Neurospora crassa OR74A: one gene and its partner. The protein of the gene in region 1 purifies or fractionates together with the protein of each later gene. This does not show direct contact. Links are inferred from orthologs where the notes say so. Each region holds a gene or a part of one and is shown on either strand. Other genes may lie near its edges.

What was found.
Region 2: the proteins of NCU04319 (region 1) and tbg purify together in Schizosaccharomyces pombe (affinity purification with western blotting; 3 studies listed by BioGRID, with this or other methods). This does not show direct contact. The link is inferred for Neurospora crassa OR74A from reciprocal best matches to the Schizosaccharomyces pombe genes alp6 and gtb1.

The regions. Positions count from the first base shown.
Region 1 is NC_026505.1:5,600,170-5,604,127, reverse strand, and holds the start of NCU04319 (spindle pole body component), read left to right. Parts: upstream 1-1,158; 5' UTR 1,159-1,436; coding exon 1,437-1,594; intron 1,595-1,680; coding exon 1,681-3,958. Other genes in the region: NCU04320 (transcriptional co-activator), read right to left, coding at 1-61, 126-354.
Region 2 is NC_026506.1:2,228,074-2,232,285, reverse strand, and holds tbg (tubulin gamma chain), read left to right. Parts: upstream 1-1,412; 5' UTR 1,413-1,559; coding exon 1,560-1,567; intron 1,568-1,619; coding exon 1,620-1,660; intron 1,661-1,763; coding exon 1,764-2,872; intron 2,873-2,932; coding exon 2,933-3,160; 3' UTR 3,161-3,897; downstream 3,898-4,212. Other genes in the region: NCU03955 (phospholipase D1), read right to left, coding at 1-18. UniProt on the Schizosaccharomyces pombe protein: Tubulin is the major constituent of microtubules. The gamma chain is found at microtubule organizing centers (MTOC) such as the spindle poles or the centrosome, suggesting that it is involved in the minus-end nucleation of microtubule assembly.

The DNA.
Region 1 (3,958 bases):
CCATCGGGAGAGGCCAATATTGGGTCGATGCGCGCACTGAGCTCGGCTTGGTTGAGGCGACCTACAAAAGGATGTTTGTTAGTCCCTGGGCGTGTCGAGGGCAGTCGGCCTGAAGGGAGACCAACCAAGCAGAAAGTTGCCAACGGCTTCCTTGTAAACCGTCCATTGTTCTAGACCAATGTTTGCCCTGAGAGCAGTATATATAGGTTCGAGGTCGATGCGGGCCGGGATGAGTTGGCTGGTCTTTGGCTTTTGTAATGGAGGAACGGAAACATTGATGGATTTTGTAGCAAGAATAGGAGTCGAGATGTTGACGGATGGCCGACTGAGGGCCGCGGGATTTATGTCGACCATGTTGGTAGGTGTGGCTCTTCACAGAGCGGTTGTAGATGTGTCGGTCTGGAAATGCCGTCGAGGTCGAAATCCGGGCCGGGACCGGAACCGGAACCGGAAGAGGAGGGCGGACTGTGACCTCGGCGAAGAAGGAGAAGGATGGTGCCTGGCGTCCTCCAGAAAGAACCTCAGGAGGTCGGACCACTCCCCCAAACAGAAGAAAGTTGAAGTTGATAATGGTTTCCCTTCTTCCGAGCAAGAACTCTACTCGTTGGTAATGGGCGCTTCCCTTGGAATATGAAGCCCCTGCCTGCGAATGGCGTCAGTCCCGGACAGTCGCGTGCGAAGCAACAGCACAATTGCGACGCGGGAATATGATCATCTGGGCCTGAAACCGTCGGCCAACGCTATGCAATTGCGAATCTGGGCTCAGACTGATGAATTGAGCATCCTGTCGTCGACAAGTAGATTGGTGTATCAGATCGACAAAGGCTGGTTGTTGGACGGTTGGAAGTCTGAATCGAGACCCACGGGACCTGAGTTGTCGTTCTCCTCCTCCTTTGGTGGTCACTTCGGTTTCCGGGCGGTTGTTGGGTTGTTGGACTTTGCGAGAGAGTTCTGAAAAGAGCGCTGAAAGATGCACGCTAAATCACCTAAGGTACGGGCGCAACATGGAACTACCTCTACCTACCTACCTATTGAGCGCCCGGGTACCTCTACTGCCTGCCGCCTACAACCCGGGCAGTGTACTAGTCTATTTTCCCGTTCAGTGAACTGGGAGCGCTGGAAAGAGCCGCCATGATCACCAAGTGCAACTTAGGTAGGTTCAGTACCAAGCTTCCAGGAACAAACAACAAGATCAACACCATCACCGTCTGTCGCGTCTTGTGGCGCGTCCCGTCCCCTCTCCGGCCGGCAACACCCCCCAAACCAAACCAAACCAAACCAAACCAAACCCACCTGCGCTACCACTTGGCATCATTAGGTTTGAGAAATTCGAGCAAGCAAAGGAAAGCTGAAGAACCAAGGGACGGAGACAAGGAAGATGTGATGGGCATACAACTGGACGCCGCCAATTCCACCCACCCCCAGACAATGCAACAATGGCTAGCCGACAGCAGGAACACCGAGCCCAGAAGATCTCCAGCGCCATCGACAGCCTCATAGCCCACCTGATCCCCGAAAACCCCTACGAAGACGACCAGACCGCCGAGCTTCGACACGACGACTATGCCTCGGCCGTCAAGGCCCTTCTCGAACAGTAAGGAGGCTTGCTCCAGCAACGGCGCCGGCCTGAGATAACAAAACAAACATTGCTAACTCTCTCTGCCTTTCTCCCCAAACCAGACCCTCCTCGCCAAGCTATGATGCCGACGTCAACAATGCCTCCGACTTGATCAAGAGGAAGCTGATCCAGGGAAACCCAACCCAGGCACTGCGCTTTTCCCACCTCTACACCCGACTACTCTCCCTCCCGGTGCTCAACCAAAAGTGGGCCATCCTCTACTTTCTATACCAGCTCTCGGACTCGCCAGACCCCAATGAGCCCCTCCCTTTAAGCCCGCTTGCCCGACAGCAACCTCATTTCGACCCTCAGTTCCACCCCCAGATCCAGGCGCAAACACCTCCTCAACCGTCAGCATGGCCTGCCGAACCCAGGATCCCGGCATATGACGAGGTTCAGGATGAGGAGGTCATGGAGGATGCCCCTTCTCCCGAAGGCTCTCACAATCTCCCCCCAGAAAGGCCAAGACATGGTCGAGACCAAGGTCATACGCCTGTCCAGAGTCACCAGGCTGGCCCTGCTTCAAGAGACGAAAGGGATGTGGCGCATGACCCTTCGGAGCCGGCCTTGTTGAGGGACCTGCCCTTCACCCTGCAGGGCCTTTCATCGGCAACTCTCCCCTTTCTCAACGACACAACGTTGAAGCTACCACCAACGCTTCCTATCCCCATCATCTCTCTTCTCAACACGCTGGCCGAGCCTTCGCTTCTCTACAGAGGACTAAACGAGTTTACCAAAACGCCGGCAAACGGACTACTGGGCCAGAGTCTACGGGCTGCCATCAGCAAGGAGCTTCGGTCATATTTGACTCTGGTGGCTACCCTGGAGACTCAAATTCGCCGCGCTCTCTCTGAGCTTGACGAGTCTGCTCCCCGTGGTGGCATTGGAAAAACGGGCGTTACGCTCAAGCGATGCGTGGTATGGACCCGTGAGGCTACTATGGGCTTGCGCCTCATGTCTCTGATTGCCGAGGAGAGCAAGAATAAGCATGGTGGGCAGTTGGTCACCCTGATCCACAACTTTTCGTCTTCACACGGCGATCCTGTCGTAGCTGCATTCGCTGAGCGCTTGCTTGTTGACGTGACTCGGCCATTCTACGATATCCTACGCCGCTGGATCTATGACGGAGAGCTCCTCGATCCCCATATGGAGTTTTTTGTTCGGGAACAGAACCCCCTCGATGAGGAGAGGAAAGACGCCAAAGCTAAGGGCCAAATGAGTGTCTGGAACTCCAAGTATGAGCTTGTTGAGGACATGGTCCCGAGTATTATCACACGCAACTTTGCTGACAAGGTTTTCCTCATCGGAAAGTCCCTTAACTTCATCCGCCACAGCTGCGGTGATCACAAATGGGTCGAGGACTACAGTAAAAATGCGTCCAGGGAGCTCAAATATGGTGACACAGCTACCCTGGAAGCCTGGATTGACGAGGCACACAGGGAGACAATGAGCCATCTTATGCGCCTCCTAAATGACCAATTCCGTGTCTTTGATCATCTAGAGGCGCTGAAGCGGTACATTCTGCTGGGGCAGGGTGATTTCATTGCTCTGCTGATGGAGTCGCTGGCTCCTAACCTAGATCGGCCAGCGGGCGCCCAGTATCGACATACACTCACTGCGCAGCTTGAGCATGCCATCCGAGGCTCAAACGCTCAATATGATGATCCAGAAATCACCAATCGCTTGGATGCTCGCATGCTTCAGCTTAGCCATGGTGATATCGGCTGGGACTGCTTTACGCTCGAGTACAAGATTGACGCGCCCGTGGACGTCGTTGTCACCGAGTGGGGCAATCGACAGTACCTCAAAGTCTTCAACTTCCTTTGGCGTATCAAGCGTGTCGAGTTTGCCCTGGCCTCGACCTGGCGCAAGTGCATGACTGGCGCCCGCGGCGTTCTCCAGACGTCGGACGAGACGGTGCTTCAAACATGGAAGAGCACACGGGGTGTCCTCGCCGAGATGGTCCATTTTGTCGGCCAATTACAGTACTACATCCTCTTTGAGGTTATCGAAAGCAGTTGGACCGAACTGCAAAAGAACATTCACAAGGAGAACTGCACGCTCGACGACCTAATAACTGCCCATACCAAATACCTCACATCTATCACACACAAGGGTCTCCTCGGTGCCAAACGACGACCGTACCCGCAGACAGGCGACCCTGTCTCAGCATCTTCCACGACCGACGAAGATCGCAACTCCTACATGGTCCAGCTAAGCGAGCTGCTCCGGATAATGCTCGCCTACAGAGACAGCGTAGACGGTCTCTACAGCTGGTCCGTCTCCGACTTTACGAGACGTCAGGAGAAGGAGACAGCCGGGCTGATCTACTCACACCGC
Region 2 (4,212 bases), on another chromosome or scaffold:
TCGGGTCGGGTCGGCCATGGCAGACGATGGGCGGTTGACGGTTGGTCAGCCTACCGGGGGACTGGTGAAGTATGCTGTTGCTGTTGCTGTTGCTGTTGTTGTCCTTGATGCTGGGAGATGTGGACAGTATCTTGAGAGAAGAAGGGGTAGGATCCTCGGTAGCGAAACATGCCGCGGCTCACAAGTAACGGTAGAAATGGTCACGCTCGTGGAAAGCGGGTTGACTCTCCAGGGGCTCGAAGACGGCGGTCAACTTTTTGAATAATGGGAATTGCTAATCGGAACGAGCCAACGACCGGGAAAAGAGCGGCAGAGTGGTTCCAATCGGGCCAACAAGGTCGGTGAAAGAAGATGGAGACGGTGGCGTGGCTACCTTGAACAGTATGAAGTACCTCCCAAGGTGGAAGTTCGCAGATACAGTCGGTTTTAGGGGGAGGTCGAAGTAGTGTAGAGAAAGCAAGATGAGGTGACGTTGGAGATTGAAGCAAGGTGTAAACTGTTAGAGTAGTAGTACTCTACTTACTAGTACACAGCGGGCATCCCCGTACAAGGAAAAGGTAGACGCGAAAAGGGGCAGGAGAGAGGTCAAACTTGGAAGTTGTTGTTTATTGGCCGCGCCCGTCTGTTACTGTTACTGTTACTGTTACTGTTACTACCTGTATCGTCCGGTACGGTAACTGTCCGTTGTACCTGCGTAGTAAGGTTGGAATGAGAGAACCAAGAGCAACCTGGAATAATTTGTTTTTTTCATTATTCGGTCAACTACTCTCTCCACCTCAGAGTTCTGCCTGATCTCTTGACCGTCACCTTTCTTCTACGTCAACGTTCCCCGTCATGTGGAGGGGTAAAACGTGCAAGACGCCTGCCTGCGTGTGTCGGGTGTTTGTCAAAGTGGTGAGACGAAGGATCCCGTCCCGTCACGTTGCAAGGTACTTACCTAGGTAGCGCAATGCTCCGCTACAGTAACCAAGTGGAAAGGCGCTGAAGGAGCCCCCCGTCGCACCTGGACTGCCCTGCTGGAAAATGGGGTTTTGTCATTTTAGGTTGGGGTGCTTGGACATGCAGGCATGGACGGCCCTTAACGAATTACAGAAGCTATACCCGACAGGGTTAGCAATCCCGGGTCCTGGAACTGCTAGATCCAGCCGACGGGAGCCAGCCACGAGATAGGTGGATGGAGACGATGGATCATTGGATGTCTCTGGTAGAGAGAGGTACCTCTACCGGCCCAGGTTAGGTGCCCCTCTCCGATCATGCTGCTAGCAGCTGACAGCGGGCGTCACTGTAGGTAGAGGTAGGTAGCGTTTGGTGATTTCCCGTCCCTTGTAGCGTTCGCAGGGGCACGGCAGCTACCTGGGTTCCATCTCCTCCCGTTTCTGTCGCGTCGACGCGGGAATCTTAGCGTAGTAGTGGTGGGCAACGTGCTGCAATCCAATGTGGGGAACTACCGGGCGTGCTCTGCTGACGTCCTTCCATATGTTTACCGATGTTCCCTCCGCTTTTGTCCCAATTGCAACAATTTCCGCCTGGAGGTCTCGCGCCTCGTTAATGCCACCACCATGCCCAGGTACGCGTCCCTCATCCCAGCACCCAACATATCGTGACTAACCGGCAAACAGAGAAATAATAACCATCCAGGCCGGCCAGTGCGGCAACAGCAGTGAGTGCCCAATTCAACCCGACGAGGAGGCAGTCGACCTTCACCCAGTCTTGCGCCTCGACATCCGGCAGCTGGACGCGCAGTTTCTGCTAACATTCTCAAGTCGGAAGCCAGTTCTGGCAGCAGCTTTGTCTGGAGCATGGCATCAGCCAGGACGGAACCATCGAGGACTTTGCGACCGAAGGCGGCGACCGTAAAGATGTCTTCTTTTACCAGAGCGACGATACGCGATACATTCCCCGGTCCATCCTGATCGATCTCGAACCCAGAGTCATCAATACCATCCAGACCGGACCATACCGGAACATATACAACCCAGAAAACTTCTACGTGGGCAAGAGCGGACTTGGTGCGGGTAACAACTGGGGTGATGGTTACCAAACAGGCGAGCAGGTACATGAGGAGATCATGGAGATGATTGAGCGCGAAGCCGACGGCAGCGACTCCCTCGAGGGCTTCATGATGTTACACTCCATCGCCGGCGGCACAGGATCAGGCCTGGGTTCTTTCCTACTCGAGCGACTGAACGACCGCTTCCCCAAGAAGATCATCCAGACATATTCGGTATTTCCCGACACGACCAGCGCCGGCGATGTTGTCGTGCACCCCTACAACAGTTTACTTGCCATGAGGAGGTTAACGCAAAACGCCGACTCGGTAGTGGTGCTTGACAACGGCGCCTTGTCACACATTGCCGCCGACAGACTACACGTACAAGAGCCATCCTTCCAACAGACGAATCAGCTCGTATCGACCGTCATGTCCGCCAGCACAACCACCCTTCGATACCCCGGCTACATGCACAACGACCTGGTCAGCATTCTCGCGTCCTTGATTCCGACTCCTCGATGCCACTTCTTGATGACGTCGTACACGCCCTTCACTGGCGACCAGGTAGAGCAGGCAAAGACGGTGCGCAAAACGACGGTTCTCGACGTCATGAGACGATTGCTGCAGCCCAAGAATCGCATGGTGTCTACTGTACCCGGCAAGAAGAGCTGCTACATTTCCATCCTGAACGTCATCCAGGGCGACGTGGACCCAACCGATGTGCACAAGAGTCTGCTCCGTATTAGGGAACGTCGTCTTGCTACATTCATTCCTTGGGGTCCCGCTAGCATCCAGGTGGCACTGACCAAGAGGAGTCCCTACGTGACTATGGCACATCGTGTCAGTGGTTTGATGTTGGCAAACCATACTAGTATTGCTACGGTATGTCAACTGCTGCTGTGTTGGCTAGATAGATGATCAAACTGACATTTCTTCACACAGCTCTTCAAGCGTATCGTTAGGCAGTACGATGGCATGCGGAAGCGCAACGCCTTTATGGAAGCCTACAAAAAGACGGCGCCGTTTTCTGAAAACCTCAACGAGTTTGACGAAGCCAGGGAGGTCGTCATGGACCTTATTGCCGATTACGAGGCTGCCGAAGACGCCAATTATCTCAACCCCGAGCTTGGCGAAAACGCGTCGGCTGACACGGACAAGAGAATGGCTTGAGTCTTAGCCGGACAGATGATGGCCAGCTGGGGGCCTTTTGTTTTGCGACTATACCTGGGATCCTTTAAAGACAGCTGGTATCCCTCTTTTTCTCTTCTTTTTTTTTTTTTTCTTAACTAGGCTGACGCGATATCACGACCAGATTGTTGTTCGCAGGCGTTATTGGGCGGGAGGGAAAACCAGGAGAAAGGTGTTGGCGCGCGTTTTCTGTATCGTTTGGCATGTTGTCGATAGATTGCAGCAGCTCTTTGACCACTGAGGCTATGGAAATACCACTTGTCTTCAAACCCCAAAATGCATGCACGCGCGACCTCAGCTTGGGCTTCATAAAGGACCCCAAGGTGATAAGTACTCAACCAACTGACAAGTGGCTGCGTGGTCGAGCGGCGTGGTGCGCTGAGCTCTCTTTGCACAAGGAGGGTAGTGCACCACATGCTGGGGGGGGGGCCCTCGCCGCCGTAGGTGACCCAACGGGGACCTAAATGGCGGGGGAGAACCTCCCTGGAAGCACTGTAAGCTGGCGTCTTCCGGCTATGCAAAATAGGGCTCTTCTACTCCCTTCCAGTTGAACGTGACGTCAGCCGTTCGATTCCAGCTCTTGTCCTCTCTCTTTTTTTTACTTTTTTTTTTTTACTTTTTCTGTTTCTTGGTTGTGTTTCATTGTCAGTGGGTGCTGCGATCAATATCGTTATGGTCCTCTGCAGGAAGCTATATAGATGCAGATGAAGCTATCACCACATCTTGGCACTCCTTAGCGTATTTAGACAAAATATTGAGACAGGGATGGCATTGACTGCTTTTAGTCTCAATCAGGAACCCAAGGACGGTGATAGGCGTATCTCCCTACCAACACTTCAGGGTGAAGATGACCTCATCAAGATTTGGCAAAATACATCAGATGCACTGCGCTCAATGCAGATTACCGCGAGAATTCGAGATGCACGGATTTCAAACGACATGGTCATCCAGCGCGGGAGGGGAGGAGTAGGAGTCCTTCCCAGAAGTCCCTTGAGCTTCCCTGTTGCTCCAACTTCCCCAGGAAGAAAACATGC